7 linked regions of the Macaca mulatta genome follow. The protein of the gene in region 5 interacts with the protein of the main gene of each other region in a pairwise test. Links are inferred from orthologs where the notes say so. Each region holds a gene or a part of one and is shown on either strand. Other genes may lie near its edges. The genes, in order: EIF2B1, PPCDC, CDR2, VCP, NTAQ1, NT5C1A and JUP.

Evidence for each region.
Region 1: the proteins of NTAQ1 (region 5) and EIF2B1 interact in binary tests that used the Homo sapiens proteins (3 or more experiments, as listed by UniProt). The two-hybrid records come from large-scale screens. The link is inferred for Macaca mulatta from reciprocal best matches to the Homo sapiens genes NTAQ1 and EIF2B1.
Region 2: the proteins of NTAQ1 (region 5) and PPCDC interact in binary tests that used the Homo sapiens proteins (3 or more experiments, as listed by UniProt). The two-hybrid records come from large-scale screens. The link is inferred for Macaca mulatta from reciprocal best matches to the Homo sapiens genes NTAQ1 and PPCDC.
Region 3: the proteins of NTAQ1 (region 5) and CDR2 interact in binary tests that used the Homo sapiens proteins (3 or more experiments, as listed by UniProt). The two-hybrid records come from large-scale screens. The link is inferred for Macaca mulatta from reciprocal best matches to the Homo sapiens genes NTAQ1 and CDR2.
Region 4: the proteins of NTAQ1 (region 5) and VCP interact in binary tests that used the Homo sapiens proteins (3 or more experiments, as listed by UniProt). The two-hybrid records come from large-scale screens. The link is inferred for Macaca mulatta from reciprocal best matches to the Homo sapiens genes NTAQ1 and VCP.
Region 6: the proteins of NTAQ1 (region 5) and NT5C1A interact in binary tests that used the Homo sapiens proteins (3 or more experiments, as listed by UniProt). The two-hybrid records come from large-scale screens. The link is inferred for Macaca mulatta from reciprocal best matches to the Homo sapiens genes NTAQ1 and NT5C1A.
Region 7: the proteins of NTAQ1 (region 5) and JUP interact in binary tests that used the Homo sapiens proteins (3 or more experiments, as listed by UniProt). The two-hybrid records come from large-scale screens. The link is inferred for Macaca mulatta from reciprocal best matches to the Homo sapiens genes NTAQ1 and JUP.

Annotation. Positions count from the first base shown.
Region 1 is NC_133416.1:131,055,305-131,059,386, forward strand, and holds the start of EIF2B1 (translation initiation factor eIF2B subunit alpha), read right to left. Parts: upstream 2,801-4,082; 5' UTR 2,669-2,800; coding exon 2,656-2,668; intron 1,815-2,655; coding exon 1,713-1,814; intron 210-1,712; coding exon 73-209; intron 1-72. Other genes in the region: GTF2H3 (general transcription factor IIH subunit 3), read left to right, coding at 2,983-2,995.
Region 2 is NC_133412.1:53,003,786-53,006,220, reverse strand, and holds the end of PPCDC (phosphopantothenoylcysteine decarboxylase), read right to left. Parts: intron 1,690-2,435; coding exon 1,521-1,689; intron 1,094-1,520; exon of another isoform or gene 1,092-1,093; coding exon 1,006-1,091; 3' UTR 501-1,005; downstream 1-500. UniProt on the Homo sapiens protein: Catalyzes the decarboxylation of the cysteine moiety of 4-phosphopantothenoylcysteine to form 4'-phosphopantotheine and this reaction forms part of the biosynthesis of coenzyme A.
Region 3 is NC_133425.1:21,841,763-21,845,697, reverse strand, and holds the start of CDR2 (cerebellar degeneration-related protein 2), read left to right. Parts: upstream 1-1,135; 5' UTR 1,136-1,210; coding exon 1,211-1,289; intron 1,290-3,935.
Region 4 is NC_133420.1:64,659,049-64,662,548, forward strand, and holds part of VCP (transitional endoplasmic reticulum ATPase), read left to right. Parts: intron 1-1,263; coding exon 1,264-1,375; intron 1,376-1,572; coding exon 1,573-1,745; intron 1,746-2,817; coding exon 2,818-2,960; exon of another isoform or gene 2,961-2,995; intron 2,996-3,500. UniProt on the Homo sapiens protein: Necessary for the fragmentation of Golgi stacks during mitosis and for their reassembly after mitosis. Involved in the formation of the transitional endoplasmic reticulum (tER).
Region 5 is NC_133413.1:133,837,243-133,841,372, reverse strand, and holds the start of NTAQ1 (protein N-terminal glutamine amidohydrolase), read right to left. Parts: upstream 2,801-4,130; 5' UTR 2,739-2,800; coding exon 2,656-2,738; intron 1-2,655. UniProt on the Homo sapiens protein: Mediates the side-chain deamidation of N-terminal glutamine residues to glutamate, an important step in N-end rule pathway of protein degradation.
Region 6 is NC_133406.1:201,123,640-201,127,139, reverse strand, and holds part of NT5C1A (cytosolic 5'-nucleotidase 1A), read right to left. Parts: intron 2,313-3,500; coding exon 2,128-2,312; intron 540-2,127; coding exon 174-539; 3' UTR 1-173.
Region 7 is NC_133421.1:66,096,254-66,099,753, reverse strand, and holds part of JUP (junction plakoglobin), read left to right. Parts: coding exon 1-138; intron 139-1,523; coding exon 1,524-1,725; intron 1,726-3,500. UniProt on the Homo sapiens protein: Common junctional plaque protein. The membrane-associated plaques are architectural elements in an important strategic position to influence the arrangement and function of both the cytoskeleton and the cells within the tissue.

The sequences.
Region 1 (4,082 bases), on a different chromosome or scaffold from region 5:
CAGGTAATGCTGAGAATGTCTGTCACTAAATGGAGAAGTAGAAAGGTAACCCCAGGGAGAGCAGGTGCTTACGGAGTATTCCAGGGAGGTAAGGCTGATGAAGCGGAGGAAGAGCTCCCCGCCAGAGGACACTGCCACGGAGGAGTCCACACCACACAGGGTTTCTATGGCACTGGTGAGATTCGCCCTCAGGCCCTGGATTGTCTCCCCTGGAATGATCCAAGGAATGTGATGTTCACATTAGGACCACAGCCACGACCTGTGTCTTCAATTCATTCATTCATTCAATGAACATTTATTAGGTACATAATAATGTATATTATTATGTACCAGGCACTGTTCTAGATAAGAGGAATATATCAGTGAACAAGACAGGCCCCTAGGGTTATGATCTGATGGCGTTTTGATTCTAATAGAGGAAGCGGATAGTAAACAAGCACACATAGAAATAAAGCCGGGTGGCCAGGCATGGTGGCTCAGGCCTGTAATCCCAGCACTTTGGGAGGCTGAGGCATGGAAACACATTGAGTAGCAGCGGCAGATGAGTTCTGCAAGGTGGTATGGGTGAGGCTAAGGTTGTTTGGATGTTATTTTAAGAACAATGGGAAGACACTGGAGGTTGCCTTAGAGACAAGCGTCTCTAGGCCTGCCCTTCAGATTAAAGGCCTTATTATTATTTTGCCTATACAAGATTTCATGCTATACCTAGATGCTAACGTTTAGAGTGCTGAATTAGGGGATCACAATAAATAATACTAATACCAGAATTTATTCTGGAATATTCCCTGTAACATCTGTACAGAATCTGGCACAAGGTGGAGGCCTAATGAACACTTATAAAGCTGAACTGCTACTGTAATTTAAGCATCATGGTTAACACAATATAAAATAGTCACTCTTGATTCAAAGTATATTTCACTTATGATAGGGATCCTTTTGATGACAATGTAAGGGCTCTCTCCAGATTGAAAAGTCTGAAATGAAGGCAGAAACTGAGCTTGGAGCTGTACTACTTTATGCAGGCAAACATGCATCTCTCACTTTCTACATTTCCAAGAGTCATGAGAAGAATTTCCTGGCCGAACACAGGCTCATGCCTGTAATCCCAGCAGTTTGGGAGGGCGAGGCGGACAGATCACCTGAGGTCAGGATTTAAGACCAGTGTGGCCAACATGGTGAAACCCCGTCTCCACTAAAAATAAAAAAATTTGCCAGGTGTGATAGTACATGCCTGTAATCCCAGCTACTCGGAAGGCTGAAGCAAGAGAATCACTTGAACTTGAGAGGCAGAAGCTGCAGTGAGCTGAGATCGTGCCACTGCACTCCAGCCTGGGAGACAAGAGCAAAACTGTCTCAAAAAAAAAAAAAAAAAGGGCCGAGCACAGTGGCTCACGCCTGTAATCCTAACACTTTGGGAGGCCAAGGCAGGCAGATTGCCTAAGCTCAGGAGTTCGACATCAGCCTGGGTAACATGGTGAAACCCTGTCTCTAAAATACAAAAAAATTAGCCAGGCATGGCAGCGTGCGCCTGTAGTCCCAGCTACTGAGGAGGCTGAGGCAGGAGAATTGCTTGAACCCAGGAGGCGGAGGTTGCAGTAAGCCAAGATTGCACCACTGCACTCCAGCCTGGGCGACAGAGCGAGACTCCGTCTCTTTTTTTTTAAAAAAAGACTTTCCTAAATCCCAGAATGTTAACAGATGACTCTCTATACCTTTATCTCGCTTCAAGAACTCCAGCAACGTCCGGATGGCAGCCACTGCTGAGGCCATGTCAGGATCTTCTTTCATCTGAGACTTAAAGTATTCAATTAACTCTGGAAAAAGTGAGAAAAGTGATTCATCTAATTCATTTAGCAGCATGTAAGGCAAGAGAGCTTGTTAATGACTGCCGACTTTTTAAGAAGCAAATAATTTAAAAAATACTTTCTTTTTAGGGTATTTAGTTTCAGGGATGCAATAAACGTTGATAGGAATAGAGAAAACACCACTTTGCTGTTTGCAAGAGCTCTTTCTTATTTTGAAAAAGCTACTGGTGTGCAAGGCCTAAAAATTAAGCCCGAGTAAATGATGATGAAAAGTCATTCTCTCTTCAGCATCCTTGGCCCTAAGATCTGAGAGGATCCCAAAGTCAACCACCTTGCCAATTTCTCCTGCACCCCTCCAGACAGTCTATGCTAATACAAGTCTATTCACATACACATATATGTTACAAATACATATGGAGTTCCACCCACTCCCCTTTATTTCTTTACATGAAAAGTATATTAGTTTGCCCTTGTGTTTCACTTAATAAGCATACTAGATGAGCACATCAAATATGCCTTATTCATTCTAATTTTAATGACAGATCCAACAAGGCAGGGAGTCTTACTCCTATTTCACATATAAGGAAATCGAAACTGCGAAGGCCCTTCTGGAGACAGGCACCGGGAAGGAGCGTATGTGTGGGAGGGGTGCCTGCAAATACCGTCAGGGCGCATCCCTGAAAACAAGAGCAGCGCGGGGAATTTAGTTGTGACTCGAGGAAACACATCCAGTGAAGCAGCCTGAAGTTCAAAAGAAATCTCTTCGGGAGCTCAGCCTGGATGTGAGAGGTTGGGGGGACCCCTGAACGGCTCTGCTGTAGCCTAGCAGCCCTGGCCTGTCCTGATTTACCCTTGTCGTCCATGGCGTCCTCCTGCGGCGGAGCCCCGGGGCACCCGAGCCGCCCGCGCTGTCTTGAACGGGTCCGCCGGCCGCGCCGCCTCCCAGCCAGTCTGACAGCGCACCGCACACCTCCGCACCACACTTCCGGCGCACTGCCGTGGCGCACTTCCGTACCCCACAACCGGCGCACCTCCGCATTCCACTTCCGCAGCTTAGGGGGCTGGCATGAGTCAAAGCACCTTGTGCGTCACTCGGCGGCGCCGGATGTTGGGCTGCGCAGCGTTTGAGACGCTCGCCTGACCACCGCTTGTTCTTCGCTGAGGTGCTGGGACAGCCATGGTTTCAGACGGTGAGGACCCTGCAGGGCGGAGTTCGACTCCGGGGCTTGGCGGGCTCGATCCGGCTATGACCGGCCAGATGGAGTGTGTCTTTTGGGCTGGATAGAACCCGTTTGGTCTTTAGAGGAGTAGCCAAGGCATTCAGTCATTCATTCAGTAAATATTTTTGGATCGCCTCCTGTGTGCAGGCATTATTTATTGGATTGTAGCAGGGATCGTGACAGACAGGGGCCTTAGTGGAGGTTACAGTCTACTGGGTGAAACAGACGACAATAAATAAAAATAATTTCGGCCGGGTCACACCCGGGTGGATTAGGCCTGTAATCCCAGCACTTTGGGAGGCCGAGGCGGGAGAATCGCTTGAAGCCGGGAGTTCGAGACCTGCCTGGGCAACACAGCCAGACCCCATCTCTACAGAAAAATAAAATAATTAGCCGGGCGCGTGTCTGTGGTCCCAGCTACTCGGGAGGGTGAGGCGGGAGAATCACTTGAGCCCAGGAGTTCGAGGCTTCAGTGAGCTATGATCGGAGCACTGCTCCCAGCATGGGTGACAGGGCATGACCTCGTCAATAAAAAATTAAAAAATAAATTATTTTTCAAAGGATGAAAAGAGCTATGAAGATCATGTAATAATACAGTCCTAGTTACAATAGTACATTGTGACTTTGAGGAGGCGCTGTTTTAATCGGGGCCAAGGAAAAATGCAGGATATTGAAACCGACTCAAATGATTGTGTGAAGTTCTGGGAAAGTGCACTTTAAGTGCAAGGGCCCTGTGGCAGAGTTACAAGTTACACCGAGAAGGGAGGAATGGAGAGCTTGTGGGTAGAGGATGGTGGGGAGACCCATTCATACATTAGCTGCCACATACACAGTCAGATGTCTTGAAGAAAAAGGAGGCTAGAGGGATGAGATCAGAGAACCAGCCAGTTTCAGGTCATGCAGGGCCTTATTGGCCATGATAGAGAAGTTAGGCTTTATTTTTAGGTGCAAGACAAAGACATTGTAGAGTTTTAAGCCAGGAAGTGTTATGATCTGGTTTGCAATTTTAAAAGATCACTGTGGCTGTTGTGTGGAAAATGGACTGTGGGGAGCAAGA
Region 2 (2,435 bases), on a different chromosome or scaffold from region 5:
CAACCCTCCTGGCTGCTTACCTGTCACCTGCATAAAGGGATGTGTCAGCTTAGCATCCAGGATTTTCTTTTTCCCAAAATGAGATGGGGCATTGCAGTAAATGTTAGGAAAGCTCTCTGGCATATAAGCATGCCTAGTTTTAACTTCCATTGATTTGACATTTACTATGTTCCAGGCACTCAGTGGCATGGGTATTTTGCACACATAATTTCACCGAATCCTCTCAACAACTCCCTGAGGGTAGGAAACAAGATAGCTGAGGAAAGTGAAGGTCAGGAAGGCTAAGTCCTGAACCAAACTCCCACTGCCAGTAAGTGGCAGAGCTGGGATTGGAACTAGGGGCTTTCTGGCTTCAGAACTTTATCCTTAACCACCATGTTATATGGGGACTAAAGAGTACCAGTGAGTCATCAACCCAGACCCTTCCCCAGCCACACCTGGCAACACCCCCTGGTCTCTGGGACCACAGTTGGGTTATAGGGAAAGAATGGAGCCTCCTAAACGGTGATTGTTCTTTATTTCCCCGCACCTTCAATCTCATGGCATGGTCTGCAGGAAACCTCAGAGTCCTGCCAACTCGCAGGCTTCGCTGATCGCATGGCATCTGGGCACCCCGCCAAAGAGCTGAAGCTCCCAAGGCTCAGCCAGGACTCTCCAGCTGTGGTGTTTCTAAAAGTCATTCTGGGTGAGATGTAGAGCCGAGTTTTCCCAGTCGCTCAGTCCTCCTCCAGTGAGGACAACACTGCTTGCTCTCCTGGCTTGCCTCGCCCATCCAGGAAAAGGTGGGGATGGGCTCTAGGCAGCGGCCTCTCTTGGTTGAAAGAAGCTGAGACCTGAGCCTTCTGTCCAGTATAACCTGGAGCAGGCCCAGCCCCTGGGGAGGCTCAGAGCAGGCCCCCCATTCAGCAAATAAGGGAATCCTCCTATTTTGCCAACATCCATCTTCACCAACTTGGCCTGAACACATGCTGAATACAGAGGGACAACCATGACAGAAATTCCAGGTCAACTCTGCTGGAAGCCACTGTGCTGGAAGAGGACTTCTTTCACTTTGTCCACGATGGTCCCCACTTCAGCCATGGCCCCCAGACCTGGGAGCAAAATTCCGCTGTAGCCAGACAGGCAGACAGTGCCTGTAGCCCTGCAGACCCCTGCCCATTGCTCCCTGAGTGCTCCACCGAGAGCCCAAGGCCTGAGAGGGCAAGGTCTGTCTCTGCCTGAGTCAGACACATCATATCTCTCCCGAGACCCCCGGTGAGGCCCTGGGAATCGTTCCAGTGGCCATCCTTAACTACGTGTGGGCTGCGTGCCAGGGACTCTACCATGTACTTTACATGGTCCATCCCATTTTACCCTACCAATCTGGAGGCAGGAATTACAATTCCCATTTTCCAACTGAGAAAGCTAAGCTCAGAGAATGGTTTGCTAAGGTCATAACAGGCCAGGAACTGAACTGAGATGTGACCCCAAAGCTGAGCCCCTTCTACGGCCATGGGCTATGAGCCTGGCAAGACACCCACCTTCGTCTCCACACACCAGCTTCTTGGCCACACAGGGGATCTCGACATAGCCGAAGGCCTTGAGCTGGTCTACCTGCTGCGCTGTGATAGGGTGCTCCCACATGGCGGTGTTCATGGCCGGGCAGAAGAGCAGGGGCTTGCTGCGGTCCCAGGCCCGGATGATGCAGGTCTGTGAACAAAGCCGGGGAAGTGGGGGTCTTGCTACTCTGTCTGCCACCTTCCCCACTGCCCTCCAGACCCTGCAGCCAGCAGCCCAGCTGTGGGCTTGAGATGAATGGGCACAGCCTGGCTGCAGAGAACTGTCTCGTCTCTCAGGGGTGGAGGCTGTGTCTCCTCGCCTCTCTCCACCTCCCCACAGGCTCTGGCACAGGATCCTACAAACAGGAGGTGCTCAACCAACGCTCAGACCTCCAGCAGGTATCCCTGTGCCTAAGCCTCCTCCAGGTAGGCTCACACCTCCTGGGAGAAGCAACCCTGGGGAGCAGAAGGCAGGCTTTTTTGGTTACACCAGAAAGCAAAGGACGAGGCTGCTCCTCAGTGGGGCCCATCTACCCGACATCAGCTCTGCAAGGCCAGCTAAAGTCTGGCAATGAAAACATCTGCCGTTACCAAAACCTTCTCATGTATAGGATCTCATTAACCCTCACTGTGACCTTATAAAGAAGGTGTTGGCTGGGTGCAGTGGCTCACACCTGTAATCCCAGCACTTTGGAGGCCGAGGCAGGCAGATCACAAGGTCAGGAGATCAAGACCATCCTGGCTAACATGGTAAAACCCTGTCTCTACTAAAAATACAAAAAATTAGCCAGGCGTGGTGGCAGGCACCTGTAGTCCCAGCTACTTGGGAGGCTGAGGCAGGAGAATCGCTTGAACCTGGGAGGCGGAGTTTGCAGTGAGCCGAGATCACACCACTGT
Region 3 (3,935 bases), on a different chromosome or scaffold from region 5:
CCTGCTTAAGAGTTTCCGTGCTTTGTCTGTAAGATGGTGCTAAAAGCTTTACTCATGAGCAGTATTTGCTGGGTTATGTCGGTGGAGGACAGCGTGCTCTGCCTTGCTGGCTACTAAGTGCTGGGGCTGCAGCCTGACCCCTCCAGGTGCAATGCCACGTCCCCAGATGCTTAACTTGTGGTCTAGAGGTACCTTTTAAAAATCGTTGCAACCCTGCTTACAATTTTCCCCCTCCAAGTGGACAGCTTCGGGCATCCCTCACTGCCCCAGATTCTCAACGGGGTCTGGCGCCCACCGTTTTAGGGAGCGTAATTCCCAGAGCTCAGATGTCAACGAGACAAGAGCTACCGCTCAGTGGGCGTTTTCTCAGCCCTAAACTCCCGATCGACTCCGAGTCTCCTTGCCGGACCCGGAGCAAATCTCAGAGTCAACATGCGAGAAGCGGCAGCCGGGCGGCGGACCTCCGGCTTCCGGCACCCTCGCGCTTCCCGCCGGCACGAAGGACGCCTCTCGACAACCGCCCGCCTCTCAGAGGCCGAAGTCCTAGGCCCTCCGGCCTGCGCTGCCTGTCCACGGACGCGCTGGCCTCGGGACACCCACCAAAGCGGCAGGACTCGCCTCCGCCAGCTCCACAGCCCGGAACCTAGTACGCGCTCCTAGGAGCCGCACAGCGCAGATCAGGGGGCGGGCTTTCGGCCGCACCCCTTCACTGTTTCCCCGCCTTCTTTGTTTATTCGGGGCCCGTCATTGGCTGCTTGGCCTCGAAACCGGGCGAGCCGCGGGTCTTTGGAGAGACGCTATTGGACGAAGTCCCTGTCGCTCGGCCAGCGGCCCGCTCGCGATTGGTTGAGAAGCCGCCGGGGGTTTGAATCGCATCCCCGGCCGGGGAGGGTTCTGCCAAAGTGCCACGTTGGGCCCGGCGGCGGCGTGAAGACCGGCGGCAGCGTGAGAACCTGGCTCCCTACGTTCGCGCCGTAACGCCCGGCCGTTGGGGCCGTTGGGAGGCGCTAGGCGAGTCGAAGCAGCCGGCCGGTCGGCGGCGGTCGCCGGCGGGAACGGGGCTGAGGCGGCGCGGCGGAGCCTGGGCGGCGGCGCGTCCCGCCCGAGGGCGGCTCTGGCTGAGGGCGGAGGGGCCGGGGAAGAGCCCGGGGCAGCGGCTGAGGCGGGACGGCGGCGGCGGGGACCGTTGCCCCTAGAGGACCCAGCCGAGATGCTGGCGGAAAACCTGGTGGAGGAGTTTGAAATGAAGGAGGACGAGCCGTGGTACGACCACCAGGACCTCCAGCAAGGTGAGGGCGGGGGCGCCCCGCGGGCGGGCGGGCGGCGGCGGCGGCGGCCTGGCCCGGGAGGCCCCCGCTGCGAAACTGTTAAAAAGTTGCTTTTTCTGGCGGCTGAGGATGCAGGTGCCGGGAAGGGCTCGGGCTCACCTGGCGGCGGGGCCGGCCGTGCCCGTGGATCCCGCCCGCAGGAAGCCTCGGCGCGGGGCCCACGGCCCTGCTAATGCGCAGTTGAATATCAGACCCGAGGCGCATGGGGGCCAGGGACGCGCCAGGCACCGTTTTAAGCGCTTTCCGTGGATTAGCTAGTTTAATCCTCACTGCATTCCTCCGAGGCAGACCGGGTGAGCCAGTGTGTCCCGTAGTAAGTGGCAGAGCCCGAGAAGCCGCCCCCTCGCAGGCTGTGTAGCCCAGCGCCTTTCTTGGCCAGCACGGAGGGCCGGCTGCTGCAGGTGGTAGTGGTTTTGCGATGTAGCGGGAGCTGTGCGCTCTGCGCCGTAACTCTAGGAGACAGTAACTTTTAAAAAATTGATTAATTTTGAGGGTACATAGTAGGTGTATCTATTTATGGGGTACGTGAGATGTTTGGATACAGGCACGCAGTGTGAAATAAGCACGTGATGGAGAACGGGGCGTCCATCCCTTCCAGCATTTATCCATTGAGGTACAAACAATCCAATTACACTGAGAGTAACTTTTGTTATCCCATTTTCCAGATGAGGAAAGCGGAGGTTGAAACGGTTGAGTGGCTTGCCTAAAGCTAAGTGGGGGAGGGAGTGGTTTTTTGAACCCACACACTCAAAAGGAGGAGTTGTAGTCACTCCTCAAACCCCCATCCCTTCCTTACCATCCTAGTTAACAGTTTTTTTTCAGTTGGGAATTAAGCTGTTACGCATAGTTCACCAGATGCCAGTTGAAATGACAGAAGAGCGCTTCTACCTCTGCCACTTTTCTTCAGTTTGCATGCCAGCTTTCACTTAGAAATAGGCCTGCCGATGGTGTCTCCAGAGAACAATCATAGAGCAGCCAACACTTTGGGGCCAGTGGGGCCCCACTTTTTTTTATACTAATAGCAGGAGCTAGCAATTGGGGAACACTTTTGATGTGCCTAACACTGATAGGCCCATAACAGAGTTGCTCATTTATCTCCCAGTAACACAATAGAGGTGATAATGTTGGGGAGTGCTAGGGTTCCCCTTAAGACTCGAGAGCAAACATTCTTAACCGCTATACTGAACACTGTGAATAATCCTCAGGAATTTTTCCCGGCATCTTTGGTTTCTGCAATTCTATGTAAATGTTTTCAGCTCTAATCTTGCAGTGAAAATTAACATCTCATTTAGTTAAATATTGAATGATGCTGATGCTTGTTCATGCTAACCACTGAACATGGCAGATGCTTGTTCATGCTAACCACTGAACATGGCAGATGCTTGTTCATGCTAACCACTGAACATGGCAGAAGGAAACTGTGTAGACTTGAGTAACTCAGAAAAGGAAAATAAAACGAGCACCTCTTTTGGAGGAAGATAATTTCTTAAATTAACATGCAATCACTTTAACCAAAGTAATTCACCTTTATTACGCTTATAGAGTCCAAGCTGCTTAGTGGTTGCAGTGCAGTGTTTGGTGGCATCATCTTTATGTCCAAAGGACACATTTCTCATACGTTTTAACAAACCTGTTTTCAGATTTCCCCATAGGGATTGATGGCCTAGTTTGATAGTTTCTCCAGGATTTGTGAGGCAACCACTGTGCCATTGCAGTATTTCCCTATAATTTAATTTGTATCATCACAACTAAATATTTTTCTTTCCTGTATTTAAGAAGCATAGGCCGGGTGCGGTGGCTCACGCCTGTAATCCCAACACTTTGGGAGGCCGCGGCGGGTGGATCACAAGATCAGGAGTTTGAGCCCAGCCTGACCAACAAGGTGAAACCCCGTCTCTACTAAAAATACAAAAATTAGCCAGGCGTGCCTATAATTAGCATGTGCCTGTAATCCCAGCTACTCAGGAGACTGAGGCAGGAGAATTGCTTGAATATAGAAGGCCGAGGTTGCAGTGAGCCAAGATGGCGCCGCGGCACTCCAGCCTGGGCGACACGAGACTCTGTCTTAAAAAAAAAAAAAAATTTAAGAAGCATAAATCCTTAAGGGTATAGAGGGGGCAGGTTCTTTTTTCTGGTATTCCCAGCATCTAGCATAATACTTGGCACATACTGGAAGCTCGATTTTAGTATTTGTTGAACTGCACTGAAGCACTATCACAGAAGTGTTTTCATGGCTCTCTTCCATCAGGTGCCTTAGTCCACGCTGCGTTCTCCCACTGTTGGAGGTTGTTTGGAACCACCAGCTGTAACACTTCAGTCTATCAAGCAGCAAGTGCAGCGTGTCAGGGTTACAGGTGGAATTCTCTTTAACCTCTGATCAAAATAAAGTCATCAACTCTTCAAGTTTAACGTTAAAAACACAGGTCTGGCCAGGCGCGGTGGCTCACGCCTGTAATCCCAGCACTTTGAGAGGCCGAGGCAGGTGGATCACGAGGTCAGGAGAACGAGACCATCCTGGCTAACACGGTGAAACCCTGTCTCTACTAAAAATACAAAAAATAAAAAATTAGCCGGGCATGGTGGTGGGCGCCTGTAGTCCCAGCTGCT
Region 4 (3,500 bases), on a different chromosome or scaffold from region 5:
TAAAAATGCAGAATTAGCTGGGCGTGGTGGCTCATGCCTGTAATCCCAGCTACTGGGAAGGCTGAGGCGGGAGAATCACTTGAACCTGGGAGGCGGAGCAGAGGTTGCAGTTAGCTGAGATCCCTTCATTGCATTCCAGCCTGTACAACAAGAGCGAAACTCCATCTCAAGAAAAAAAAAAAGAGAGAGAGAGAGAGAACTTGAGTCTACTAAGTGACAGCTGGAGATGGGCTAGGTAATAAGTTGGTGTCACTGTCTGGTGAATGACCCTGTCTTGTAGGAAATAACAAACTGAGTATAGACCCAGTCAACTTTGATTTGGATGAGAGGGATTTGTATTTGCACAGTGTTTCAGCATTTCTTGGTTTTGGTTTTTTGAGCCAACTTTATGGAATTGTGTGCTTTTGCAGAAATTACTGTGAAGTTCCTTTTGACCTTGAGCCTCTTTCTGGCAGTTTCATGTTTGTTAGTGTTGTTTCCAAATATGATGGAAACCATATGATGATTTTTATGCTTGGCATTCCTTTGGTACTATGGAATGCCCTGGCATCAGTAGGTTTAGCCTATAAGGAGGGTAGCGCCAATAATTCTGCTTCATTGTCCCCAGGCTTGCTTGGTAGGACTTGAGAGCTCCCCGAGCCTCAAGGGAAATTGTCTGGCTTACTTCATTCCCTGGAAAGTTAGCTTATGCTTTATATTGTTAATCATGGTGACTGTTATTACCATGTGCCAGCTATTATGTTAAGCATTTTACATTCATTATCTCCCTTAAGACAATAAGCCTCTGAGGTAAGTATTATAGTCTCTCTCTTATAGAGGAAGACATCAAAGTTCAGAGGTTAGGTAACTTGCCCAAGATCACAGTTAAGTAGTGGCAGAATTGGAATTCAGACCCAATGGGTCTGACTATTATAGAGTTCCTGCTCTTAACCACTCTTCTATAAGTCTAAGACTATTTTTATTTCTCTAATAACTCTTCAGTCTCCATTTCTATTATGTCTTCTTGGGGCAGGATCACTCACTTGGAGCCTTATAGCTGGGACACTGATGCTCAAAATACCAGGAGCTGCCGGAATGGGTATTGTAATATGTATGCTAGATACTGCTCCTCGTGACCTTGGCTGCCTTTCCTTCATCCGCGCTCTCTGGTCTAGGGACAGCTTCATCTATTCACTGTTTGTTTCCTAAGTATGAGTTTTAGAGACTGGTGAGGCCCTTGGGGCAGGAGTATCTACTGGGACTGACTCCATTTCCTGCTTCTAGTTCAAAAGGTGATGACCTATCAACAGCCATTCTCAAACAGAAGAACCGTCCCAATCGGTTAATTGTTGATGAAGCCATCAATGAGGACAACAGTGTGGTGTCCTTGTCCCAGGTAAGCTGGGGCCACAAACTAGTCTTTCCTTACTGCACTTACTTGAGGGATTTGCCCAGGTTTCTTTTCTCATTTTGCAGATATTTGTATTTGCAGACTGCAGATAGAGTGGGGTTTACTGGGAATCCCAATCTCGAGGGCTGTTGCTTACTCCCCTTCTGCCCAGTGACCCAAAGGCCTTAACTTTCTATCCTCAGCCCAAGATGGATGAATTGCAGTTGTTCCGAGGTGACACAGTGTTGCTGAAAGGAAAGAAGAGACGAGAAGCTGTTTGCATCGTCCTTTCTGATGACACTTGTTCTGATGAGAAGATTCGGATGAATAGAGTTGTTCGGAATAACCTTCGTGTACGCCTAGGGGATGTCATCAGGTGTGTGGGGTTTTTGGCTCCACAGGGATGGGAGGCCAGAGATAGCCTGCATTACAGGCAGTACCCATGTATTACTGGCAGGACCAAGTTCTTGGAACCTGTCGATGCAGGAAGCCTGCTGGTCATGGGAAGACTTATGCTTCAGGATTGTCTTTAGGTTTTGGTTCTGCCTTCCTGGGACTTCAAAATCCATTTCTGCAGGTCGCTTGAGACAAATTGGCATTCCTGTAACTTTCTTGGTGCCTTTATTTTTTCCTACTAGAAGTGTAATTTATCATACTTATAGCCTAGCTTAGGATACCACTCGAGGGTGTGTATGTATCTGCCAAATAACCTCCTCACTACTCTCACTAGTATGTCCAATTAATGGCTTGCGTTGGGGTTGGAATGAGGTGGGGATATGGACATGGAAGGTGAGCTGCTAGCAGGCCTTTTAAGCCCCTAAGTGAACCCGGGAGAGAGGAATAGTTGGAGCCAGACCCAGGATAGTTCTCAATGTGAGTGATTTTGCTTGTTCTTGCATAATTTTAGGCAAGAGGTTGCCCCATCTTGGAGTCATCTCTAGCCACTCTTACCCAACCAACCATCACCTGGCCAGGATCATCTCAGGCTTTTGATTCTTTTTGATGGAGTCTTAAGTTTCATGTAGCTTTCTTCTTGGGGGTGCTTAGTCACTTCCTCAAGGTGTTCTGAACACCTGGCTGAGATAATTTTGTTTTTTTCACTTCTGTTTCACTGACCCCGACAGTTGTTAGCTTAAGACCTTCCCTTGTAATATTGGGTCACCGATATTAGCTAGAAGGGGATCATCCTTGGATATCTCACTGAAGACCTTGCATATCTTTGTGGGGTTTCTAAATGTGTGGCTCTTGATTTTGGCTCACTGATTAGAAGTGAGTGGGGCTGTTCCTTTGCCCTCACTTCCACGGTGTTCTCCTTCCTCTCTTCACCTAAAGCCATCCTGCCTTTTCTTTTTCACTTACTATCAGCTATCTGTGCCAGGCCCTTTTGGACACCCAGTGCTTGGGCCCGAAGTGTGGTTGGTAATATGGAGTCTGCTTGTCATCCTCAGCATCCAGCCATGCCCTGATGTGAAGTACGGCAAACGTATCCACGTGCTGCCCATTGATGACACAGTGGAAGGCATTACTGGTAATCTCTTTGAGGTATACCTTAAGCCGTACTTCCTGGAAGCTTATCGACCCATCCGGAAAGGTGAGAGCTAATTCTGAGTTTAAGGATTATTGACTGTAGTTAATAAACCTTGGAACATCTTCGTCTCGTTTTCTTTTTTTTTTTTTTAATCTTTTATGCTTTTCTCCTGTATTTATTTATTTATTTTTTAAGAGATGGGGTCAGCTGGGCACCGTGGCTCACACCTATAACCCCAGCGATTTGGGAGGCTGAGACGGGTGGATCACTTGAGGCCAGGAGTTCGAGACCAGCCTGGCCAACATGGCAAAACCGCATTGTGGGCACCTGTAATCCCAACGACCTGGGGGGCTGAGGCACAAGAATTGCTTGAACCCAAGAGGTGGAGGTTGCAGTGAGCCAAGACCAGGCCACTGTACTCCAGCCTGGGTGACAGAGCAAGACTCTGTCTCAAAAAAAAAAAGAAATGGGGTCTCACTATGATGCCCACGCTGGTCTCAAACTGCTGGTCTCAAGTGACCCACCTGCCATGGCCTCCCAAAGTGCTGGGATTACAGGCATGAGCCGTCATGCCTAGTCTCATTTTCTTTTCTTTTTTTTTAT
Region 5 (4,130 bases):
ACTATTATCATTAAGCAGGGTCTTGAAGCATAAGTAACATTTGGAAGCTAACATGACAGAAGCTAACAGAAGTAGACAGGAGGCACTCATTTCAAGTTTAAAAACCTGCAGGATGGCCAGGCATGGTGACTCATGCCTGTAATCCCAGAACTTTGGGAGGCCGAGGCGGGTGGATCACCTCAGGTCAGGAGTTTGAGACCAGCCCGGCCACTGTGGTGAAACCTCATCTCTACTAAAAATACAAAAATGAGCCGGGCATGGTGGTGGGTGCCTGTAGTCCCAGCTACTCGGGAGGCTGAGGCAGGAGAATGGCTTGAGCCTGGGAGGCAGAGGTTGCAGTGAGCCGAGATGGCACCACTGCACTCCAGCCTGGGTGATAGACTGAGACTCCGTCTCAAAAATAAAAAAACCCCACAAAGCTGCAGGAGCCAAAGTAGTGCAGTGCCCCCACCTGACATGTTCAGACAGGGTAGAGCACTGTTTCTCAGCAAAAGGCGATTTTGCCCCCCAAGCCCTACAGGACACTTAGCAATGTCTGGAGACATTTTTGGTTGTCACAACTAGAGCTAGGGTGCTAACAGCATCTAGTGGGTAGAGGCCAGGGATGCTGCTACATGTCCTGCAATACACAGGACAGCCCCCATAGCAAAGAATTATCATGCTCAAAATGTCACTCGAACCTAGGCGGAGAAATCCTGCGGTAGAGTGGTCAACTCTTACCATTCTTCTACAAGACTGCTCTAACTCTGATACTCCAATTGTACCAGTCTCCTCACTGTTTCTATCATACAGCACAATTCCTTCTCAGAGCCTTTGTACCTGCTGTTCTCCCTGCTTAAATGACCATCCTCCAATAGATGCAAAGCTCTCACCCTCTTTTTTCAGATCTCTGTTCAAATATCACCTTATCAACAATGTCTTCTCAAAATATCCTAATAGAAAATAAGCCACCATCCTTTATCTTATTTTTCTCACAGCACTTAACACCACCCAAACATGGTTTACTTGTTTTTGTCTGCCTTTTTTTTTTGAGATGGAATCTCGCTCTGTTTCCCAGGCTGGAGTGCAGTGGCATCGGCTCACAGGAATCTCCTCCTCCCGGGTTCAAGCGATTCTCCTGCCTCAGCTTCCCGAGTAGCTGGGATTACAGGCGTGTGCCACCACACCTGGCTAATTTTTGTATTTTTAGTAGAGGCAGCCTTTCTGCATGTTGGCCAGCCTGGTCTCAAACTCCTGGCCTCAAGTGATCCGCCCACCTCAGCCTCCCAAAGTGCTGGAATTACAGGCGTGAGCCATCGCACCGGACCTTATCTGCTTTTCTCTCATCAAAATACAAGAACCAAGGGATCCATGAGTGAATTTGTCCATCTTGTTCACTGCTGTATCTCCAGTGCCCAGAAGTGGGCCACATACTCCAAGTGCCTAATACACATTTATTGAATGAATGAATAAAACAATGGACATTAGGGAGGAGAACTAACGGGATTTAGAAGAGGCAGGACAGAAAAAGAGTGCAGCAGTTAAGATGCATGAACTTCAAAATCACGAAGATGTTCCAGTTTCAGCACCACCACTTGCTAGATGTGTGATCTGGGGGCACACAACAGCCTCTCTGTGGCTCACTCTTTTTATTAGTAAAATGAGGATAACGATAGTAAAAGAAGCTACTCATGGACATCGATGGAAGCACCTGCCACTGAGCCTGACATGCAATCAGGGCCGAACAAATGCTCGGTGGCATTGATTTAGTGACAAGCAGAAGGGGGAAGGGTAGTTTTAGATAGCACTGAGGGTTCCTGTGCAAGGACTAGAAGAAGCTGGGGAAGAAACCATTACTCAGGAAAGAGTAGGCATGGGAATGAAAAAGGACCAAGGCAGGGGCGGTGCTTCAGCTGCAGAGGTGGCCTAGGACAGGGGTGCAGAGCATGGACTCCGGGGCCAGACTCTGCCTGTAAATCCCCACTCCTTCATTCACAAGTGATGTGGCCCTGCGCAAATTACTTGCAGCCCTCTGTGCTTCAGTGCTCTCATCTTTAAACTGGGGATAACAATACCTACCTCTTAGGGTTATTGTGATACTCAGTGATTTAGTTTACCTAAACCACCCAGAACAACGCGTGGCATATAGCAAGGGCTGTGTGAATGTAACCATTATTATAATGACAACATGGTTAAGATCATGGTTTCTGGTGCCAGAGAGCCCGAACTGGATTCCTGGCTGCTATTAGCTGGGTGACCTTGGGAAGTTATCCCAAACTCTCTGTGCTTCCATTCTCTTCCAAAATTAAAATGACCTTCGCCTCAGTCTGAAACCCCACATGCTTCAGCAGAGTAACTTCCAAAGGTTTTCAGAGCTCCACCCTCCCTAGCCCCGAAGCAGAGATCTGCTGAGCAAATCCAACCGACAAGCGCCAGGCACAGGTAATGCACTATCGACCCTAGGATTCCGGACGAATTCCCAACCCCATCCAACAGCCCACGCTCTACTCAAGAGACAAGAGCTGCCATTCCCGCTCCCTACTCCCGCAGAACTGTAGAACCCGCCGGTAGAGGCCGGGAGCGCCCCCGAGCAGGGGCCGGGAAGAGGCGGGGCCTGGTTGCAACTCGCGGCCCGGGAGCCAGGGAGACCCAGAGGCTGCGCCCGCGCCCCCTCACCAGTAGCAGCTGCTGTAGACACAGGCGTCCCGCGGGGGACTGGCCGGCTGGTAGTGGACGGCAGTGGGGCCATTACCCTCCATGGCCAGCTAGCTCAGCCAGCGCCGACGCCGGAGGAAGACCGACTGGACCACACGTAGGAAAGGGCGGGCGTGTAGCGGCACGCGCGGGCTCTCAGGGCGGGGTGGGAGGAGCCCGGGGCGGCCGGGACAGTTTCCGGGCGGTGGGGCCAGGAGCGCGGTGGGCGGGGCTCGCAGCACGAGTTCTCAGCGCGGGAAGCCGGGGACGAAATGGGCAGAGCTCGGGCAAGCGGCGCCAGTTCCTGGGAAGGTGGAGCCCAAGCGAAGTGGGCGGGTCCGGGGTGGGGTGAGCGGCGAGAACTCCCGGTGGGCGGAGCCCGGGACGAGGAGGACTGCGTGCTTCCGGGTAGGCGGAGCCCGGCTGGTGGGTGGAGCCCGGGGTGGGGCAGGACTGGAGGCTTGGGCTCTCGTGGGCGGAGTCAGGGGCGGGGCCCCGGTGAGGTTTGGGAGAAGAGGGGTCTTTGGCGGCGGCTTAGGGTGGAGCTAGGTTTGGGCTTGGAGTTGGGCCCTGAATAGCGCTTCGCTGTGAATCTCCCGGGGAGGCTCTTCCAACTTGGGGCTGAGCTTCTGCGCTGTGGAGAAGCCAGGTGAGACACTGAAATAACAGAGGTTTGGGTGTGAAAATCCACACTTCAGCACTCAGCCTGGAGTCCGCGGGAGCCCAGAGAAGAGGAGGGGAGTGGAGGTTAATTCCAATATGACCGCATCGAGGACGCTTTCCGAAAGGGATAGCACACCAAATCTCACTCTATTGTAACTTAATCTTTTAAATTGGAAGACCTATATCTATTGGCTCGAAAAGATATATTAATTCCCTGATATAGTAAATTTGAAAAAAAAAGTTTAAAGAGTCCATATGGTATCGTTTTTGTGTTAATCATGTGTTTGTTCATTTACTGGCAGTCTGGAAGAAAAGACACCATATTGTTAAAATAGTATTTAGGGCCGGGCGCCGTGGCTCAGGCCTGTAATCCCAGCACTTGGTAAGGCCGAGGCGGGTGGATCACGAGGTCAGGAGTTCGAGACCAGCCTGGCCAAAATGGTGAAACTCCGTCTCTACTAAAAATACAAAAATTAGCTGGGCGTGGAGGCGCGCGCCTGTAGTCCCAGACACTCGGGAGGCTGAGGCAGGAGAATCGCTTGAACCCGGGAGGCGGAGGTTGCAGTAAGCCAAGATAGTGCCATTGCACTCCAGCCTGGTCGACAGAGCAAGACTCCGTCTCAAAAAAAGAAAAAAAATAGAATTTATCTATGGTGAATGAATAGTATTAATATCAGGGACTTTCAGTTTCAAGGACTTTACACTTTACAGTCTTCTGAATTGTTTATATTTGCAATGAGGATAACTCGCTAATCAGGGTACTTCCCATTATAAAAACTGAGATGTTTACATTG
Region 6 (3,500 bases), on a different chromosome or scaffold from region 5:
GTTGAGAATGCCAGTTCCGTCTGCATAATTTCCTACAAGTACATCACTCATAGGGATGCGGGCAGACAGGCAGAAGCACAGAACAGTGAGAAACTAGAGGGATCTACCAGAGGACGTGTCGAAGTATTTCAGGGAGCCTGGAGCAATGTGGATCAGTAAAGCTGGTGGTTCAGCTACTGTGCAGATGGGGCCTGCTTTGCAGGTGCAGTCCGCCGGGGTGTCTGTGCCACGCCATAAGGCACATGGGCGGCCACAGTGCCCATCTCCTGAGCACCAGCCACATGGAACATCTGGTCATCAAAGAAGATGTGTGGGCGGATCTTCTCTAGGAGGGGGCCCTTGGGCGCTCCAGCGAGGAACAGGGCTTCATCTGTCTCCAGGCCCCAGCTGCGCAGGGTCTTGAGAGCCCGGGCCCCAGAACTGGCTGCACTGCGTGCTGTCACCAAGTAGGTACGAATTGGGCACTCCAGCCGTAGGCCTTTGGAGTAGAACTTCTTCTGCAGCCTACCCAGTGCCTCCAGAAAGCCCTTTAAGGGGCCCTATGAGAAGGCAAGGGGAACACTGTTAGCTCTACCACCTCCCAAATATTTGCCCCCTGCTCTCCCTAAAGCACTAGTGTCTTGTTTGGTGTGAAAAGTTCAGGATCCCTCAATCTTTCAGTTAGTTCTGCTCATGCCTGCTTATGCTGCTGTGTGCGCCAGTGGGGCTCCAGTCAGGGGAACTGTGTTATTGCATACTGGTGCAGGGTCAGAATAACTCTCAGGGCAACTGTTGATATGTATCCTCCATCCATATGCCCATCAAGGTATACAGATGTCTGTCCTGAAGCTCTGTAAGTGTGGCCTTTTGTGCCCTTCAACAGGGAGGATATTAAAACTAGTAACTATGGCAATGGGCACCCTTCAATCAGAATGGACTCCAGCTGTAAACAGCTGGAGAAGATGGCCCAGTGTGTAACTGTTGAGTATCAACCGTGCCCATCTGGCACCCAGGTGGCTCAAGGTGTCATCCTCAAGCTCTCTAGGGTCAGGGAAAGAATTTATTCTCTACAGTGCCCAGAACAATGAAGCTTCCTGAGGATGTGAGAATAAAAAAGCAGACGACAATGAAGAAAACTGCTTATTTCCAAAGCAGCTAGAAATAAACAAAAGGGGGCTCCTCGTCTTGGAGACCTCTTGCTTGCTAGGTGAACTGGAATAAGCAGTGGTCTCCTGGGCCTCTGCTTACCACTTAGTAGGATAACTCTCCTGCCCTGGATTCCCAAGGATTTCAGAGGCAACTCACAAGAACAGATGCGAACTGAATATTTAGGAGCCACAACTGAAACCTGCTGAGCTCTTGGAGCGGGGGGCTCTGAGATTATTGAGCATGCAGCTTTTTGTTAAAAGCTCAAATAGGAGCTCCCAGCAGAGCTGGAGAATCCAAAAGCCCCAACTCCAGGGAATTTCCACCAAGCTCTAGGGTATATTCTGTTCTGAGAGACACTGAGCAGTTTGAGGGTGAGTGAGTGTCCCTATGCCCCCAGCTAAGGGATGGATGGCAAGAGGTGTCCCAAAGCAAATGGTCTGCCCCAGATGCCACACCCAGCTGGATCTCCCTGCCCCAGTGAGGCGTCCCAGTCCAGCAGTTCGTTTCCTCCTGTTTCCAGGGAGGGAAACAGGCTTCTTAAGAGGCTGGGCATGCTCTCAGAGGGGTGGGGGATCTCAGGGGAGGAAGTGAGGGTTCCAGAGAGACGATGGGAACTTCAGAGAAACAGAATGAGGCCTTCAGAACAGGGCAGGGACTTCAGAGAAGGGGGGGATGTAGAGAATGGGGACATCAGGCAGGGAAAGGAGACCTCAGAAATGGGGATTTGAGCTGCAGAGAGTGGGTATGGGCTTAGAGAGAGGCTTAGAGAATGGAGGCTTCAAAGTGGGGTTGGGACTTCAGTGAGGGGATGTGGGCTCGACAAAGTGGGTGGAAGCTCATTGATGGGGGGCCAGTGGTCAAGTGAGAGGGTTGACGGGACCGGGCTGGAATCTGGGCTGAGCCTGGGGTTTGTTTGGTTCCGGGCTGGGAGTGCAGGCCAAGGGCGGATCTGGGGAGCTGCCTTGTTCCTCTCAGGGGTTCTGGGTCTCTATGGAGCACCTGAGCCAGAGGTTTGTTCTCGTGGGCCTTCTCATGCTCGAAGAATCGGTCCAGCCCGTGGGCCTTGACGATGCGCTCCGACTCATCCGAGAAGAGCACAGCGTCCCCGTCGAAGGCCACGCGCAGCTGACTCTGGGACACAACCACGTCCCTGCTGGGGCTGAAGATGGTGGCAGCTGCGATCCCTAGGCAGAGAGAGGCAAGTATTATCTGCCTTCAGGCTGGGCAGTAGGGCCAGAGCGGGCTAACTTAGGCTGTCCTTGCCCCACCTGCCTCATACAGGACTCAGGGCAAGGCTGATAAAAACTAATATTTAAAACATGTAAAAACTGGTAGTGCATGGATCCTGGCCACGAAGAGGGCAGCAGCAGTGGCTCTGAAGCAGATCTCTAGGGCCCTTGCCTTGCCAGGTTACCCTGTTGGTTATTGCTTTGTGGAAAAGTCTGGGAGGAGTCCCGGGGAGGAGGAGGGCACTCAGGACTCAGGGCAGGAACTATTTACCAACCAGTGTGAAGGAATTTCAATACTTTAACCCCTAGTAAGATCATGCTGCTGTGGACCAGCCAAACGTGAGTCCCACCGGCCACTGCCTTCCTGCCAGGGGTGCTTTACAACCCCTGCTATAGACCTACATTGGGGCTGGAAGGAGCCCCAACTCTGGTTTGGCCTCAGTCACTCCCTCACCATTGGTTCTAGCAAGTCACTCACCTTCTCTGGACCACTGTAAAATTAAGGGCCTCTCATCTCTGGGGCTGAGACCATAGGCTGCAATCAGGTGAGGTGAGTACGGGCACCCTCAGTCTACAGCCACAATGACACCCAGGTATGCCCTACTGGCAGCTGTTCAGGGTTCCAAAAAACAACCTAGGTGGCCCTGGGAGACAGCACAAGTGATGGCTAGTTGTGTGCACAAACTCTCTGCAACCCCGGGCTCCTCCAGGGATCCAAGGATGCCTCTCAGGGGTTCAGGCTCCAGGCTAGAGCTGCACTAGATGGCAGAAAGCCAGTGCTGGGAGGCTGGAGACCTGGGCTGCTAGCTGAGCCCATTCCCTAGTCTCCATCTCTTCAAAGACCACTTCAGCCCAACTCTTTGAGAACTGAGGATCACAGAGGCTGGGCTTAGGTGAGCTTTGGGAGGAGTGAGCAGTGCTACCCGCACACAACTTCACTAGCCTGAGGATGCTACAAGCAGGGCCAGTGCCAGGCATCAAGCCAAGCACCTTCTCAGCTCTGCCAGCACTGGAACCAAGATGATCCAGAACCACCTCTACCCTCAGCAGGGCCTTCCCGTGGACCATTATCTTGCTCCTTAGCCTGAGGTCAAGTTACGAACACACAGAGGCACACCTACATGCCAGTGCCAAGGCCCCAAC
Region 7 (3,500 bases), on a different chromosome or scaffold from region 5:
GCGCACCATGCAGAATACCAGTGACCTGGACACGGCCCGCTGTACCACCAGCATCCTGCACAACCTCTCCCACCACCGGGAGGGGCTGCTCGCCATCTTCAAGTCGGGCGGCATCCCTGCTCTGGTCCGCATGCTCAGGTACCCACCCCTGCTCAGTGCAGGAGTCCAGGACCCCGCCTCACTTGGGCCTCTCCCCTCCCTTCCCTGGGCTTCCATAAATACCCAGCGAGCAACTATCATGTGCCAGGCAGAGGCACACCCCATCCTGGTGCTCAGTGGCTCACAGCCCAGCAGGGAACACAGGCATGTAAACAGCAGGTTAATGATCAGGATATGACACAGGCTGTGGCAGAAGAGCATTGAGGTTGCTCAGAGGTGGAATCGCTTAATGGCAGGGGATTAACAGATGAGTGGAGTTTGGCTAGTGTGGAGGAACCGAAGAGTGTCCCAGGCAGAGGGAACAGCAAATGCAAAGTTCCTTACAAACTTTCTGTTTCTGGGCCCCCTACAAAATGTTGATTGGTCTCATTTCTCGTTTTTTTTGAGATGAGGTCTTGCTGTCGCCCAAGCTGGACTGCAGTGGCATGATCTCAGCTCACTGCAGCTTCCACCTCCCAGGTTTGAATATTCCTTCTGCCTCAGTCTCCTGAGTAGCTGGGATTACAAGTGTCTGCCACCATGCCCAGCTAATTTTTTTTTTTTTTTTTGAGACAGAGTTTTCCTCTTGTTGCCCAGGCTGGAGTGCAGTGGCGCAGTCTCAGCTCACTGCAACCTCCGCCTCCCGGGTTCAAGCGATTCTCCTGCCTTAGCCTCCCAAGTAGCAGGGATTACAGGTGCCCACCACCACGCCTGGCTAATTTTTGTATTTTTAGTAAAGATGGGGTTTCACCATGTTGGCCAGGCTAGTCTTGAACTCCTGACCTCAGGTGATCTGCCCGCCTTGGCCTCCCAAAGTGCTGGGATTATAGGCGTCTGCCACCATGTCGAGCTCAATTTTGTATTTTTAATAGAGACGGAGTTTCGCCACGTTGGCCAGGCTGGTCTCGAACTCCTAACCTCAGGTGATCCCCCGCCTCGGCCTCCCAAAGTGCTGAGATTACAGACGTGAGCCACCGCGCCTGGCCTCATTTCTCATCCCTATACCAGGCTGGGAGCTCCATGAAGGGGAGACACTGATTTCATTCCCCTCTGAACACCTTGCAAGGCCTCTCTAATATGTGGCCTTCCACATGGTAGTTACTTAGTAGGGATCAGTGTCTAGGGACCTGCTGTGTGCTCAGCACAGGGCTGGGGGCTCAGAAGCAGGAGGAGTCATTGTCTCAGTTGGGAGAAGACAGGTGCTGTTTGCTTCATGCTTAAGAGCCGGGCAGGCTCAAGGAGTGATGAGATTTTAGCAAAGGGATATTTCCAGAGGGGTGTCAGTAGTGGGGAGGCTTCCTGGGGGAGGTGGGAACCCATACCAGGCTCACATGTATGCCAGGCCCCTGGGACCTCGGCATACTAACCCCTGCCCACCCCCCCAGCTCCCCTGTGGAGTCGGTCCTGTTCTACGCCATCACCACGCTGCATAACCTGCTCCTGTACCAGGAGGGCGCCAAGATGGCCGTGCGCCTGGCTGACGGGCTGCAAAAGATGGTGCCCCTGCTCAACAAGAACAATCCCAAGTTCCTGGCCATCACCACCGACTGCCTGCAGCTCCTGGCCTACGGCAACCAGGAGAGCAAGGTGGGCCCTCCCCAACCCTCCTGAGGCCTGAAGCCCACCCTTGCGTCACCCTCTATCCTCCACAGCTTCGGGCTGCTGCCCCTTACTCCTTTTAGATGAGATATAGGGGCAGATGTGCATGCTTCATCATGCGACTGAATTGGTCAGAATTATTATTTTGAGCATAAGGAAAAAAAATCACTCATCCTCATACAGCCACTATTGTCATTTCGATATGCTCCGTTAAGAGCTGTTCTGTGGGCAGACTACAGATGTGTGCACATTCTTGTCATAACAATCTGCAACATTGCATCTGTTTTCTGCCTGCTTTTTTTTTTTTTTTTTTTTGAGACAGGGTCACCCAGGCTGGAGTGCAGTGGTGTAATCAGGGCTCACTGCAACCTTGACTTCCTGGGCTCAGATGATCCTCCCACCTCGGCCTCCAGAGTAGCTGGGACTTCAGGCATGTGCCACCATGCCCGACTAGTTCTTTTTTACTCTTCTTTTTTTTTTTTTTTTTTTTTGAGATGGAGTCTCACTCTGTCGCCTAGGCTGGAGTGCGGTGGCGCAATCTCAGCTGACTGCAACTTCCGCCTCCCGGGTTCAAGTGATTCTCCTGCCTCAGCCTCCCAAGTAGCTGGGATTACAGGTGCCCACCACTATGCTCAGCTAATTTTTGTATTTTTAGTAGAGACAAGGTTTCACCAGGTTGGCCAGGCTGGTCTCAAACTCCTGACCTTAGGTGATCCATCTGCCTTGGCCTCCCAAAGTGCTGGGATTACAGGCGTGAGCCACTGCACCGGGCCCCCGACTAATTTTTTGTAGAGGTGAGATTTCTCCATGTTGCCCAGGCTGGTCTCAAACTCCTAGGTTCAAGTGATCTGTCTGCCTTGGCCTCCCAAAGTGTCAGGATTACAGGTATGAGCCACTGTGTCTGGCCTGCATGATGTTTAAAAAAAATTGTTTTTGCTCTGTTGTCCTCAAAACCACCCTCTAATAATGACAGATTGCCTTTCCTTTCCCCTTTCCCCTTTCTTTTTCCTTTTCCTTTCCCTTTTCCTCTCTTCCTCTCTTTCTTCCTTCCTTCCCATTTCTTCCTTTTCTTTCTTTTTTGAGATAGGGTCTCACTGTGTTACCCAGGCTAGAGTACAGTGGCATGATCCTAGCTCACTGCAACCTCAAAATCCTGAGCTCAAGCATTCCTCCCACCTTAGCCTTCCTGATAACTAGGACTACAGAAACGTACCAATGAGCTAATTAGCACCTGGGCTAAGTTTTAAATTTTTTATGGGGATGGGGTCTTGCTCTGTTGCCCAGGCTACCCTCAAGGAATCCTCCTGCCTCAGCCTCCGAAATAGTGGGATTAAAGTCATGAGCCACCATACCTAGCCTACAGATAGCATTTCATTAAGTGGAGACCTTAGGCTTTATTCTGAGGGAGGGTATTTAGATTGCTCCTATTCCACCTTTATAAACAATGCTGTCTAACGAATTAACGAATGTCTTTGGGCATATAGCCTTTGTCAAAGAGTGGAAAAAATTCTCATTGATTTTTAACAGTTCTAGGCTTTTACCCAAATGGCCAGACTGATTTCCAGAAGGATTGGACTAATTTCCAGTGCCATAACTGGTAATGGATGTGCATATAGTTTTGTCACATCCTTGTCAGCACTAGGTATTATCCTTTTTTTCAAAATTTTGGCTTACATAACAGTCATGAAACTATTGGGGTGGGCTGGGTGTGGTGGCTCACGCCTGTAATCCCAGCACTTTGGGAGGCCGAGGTAGGTGAATTG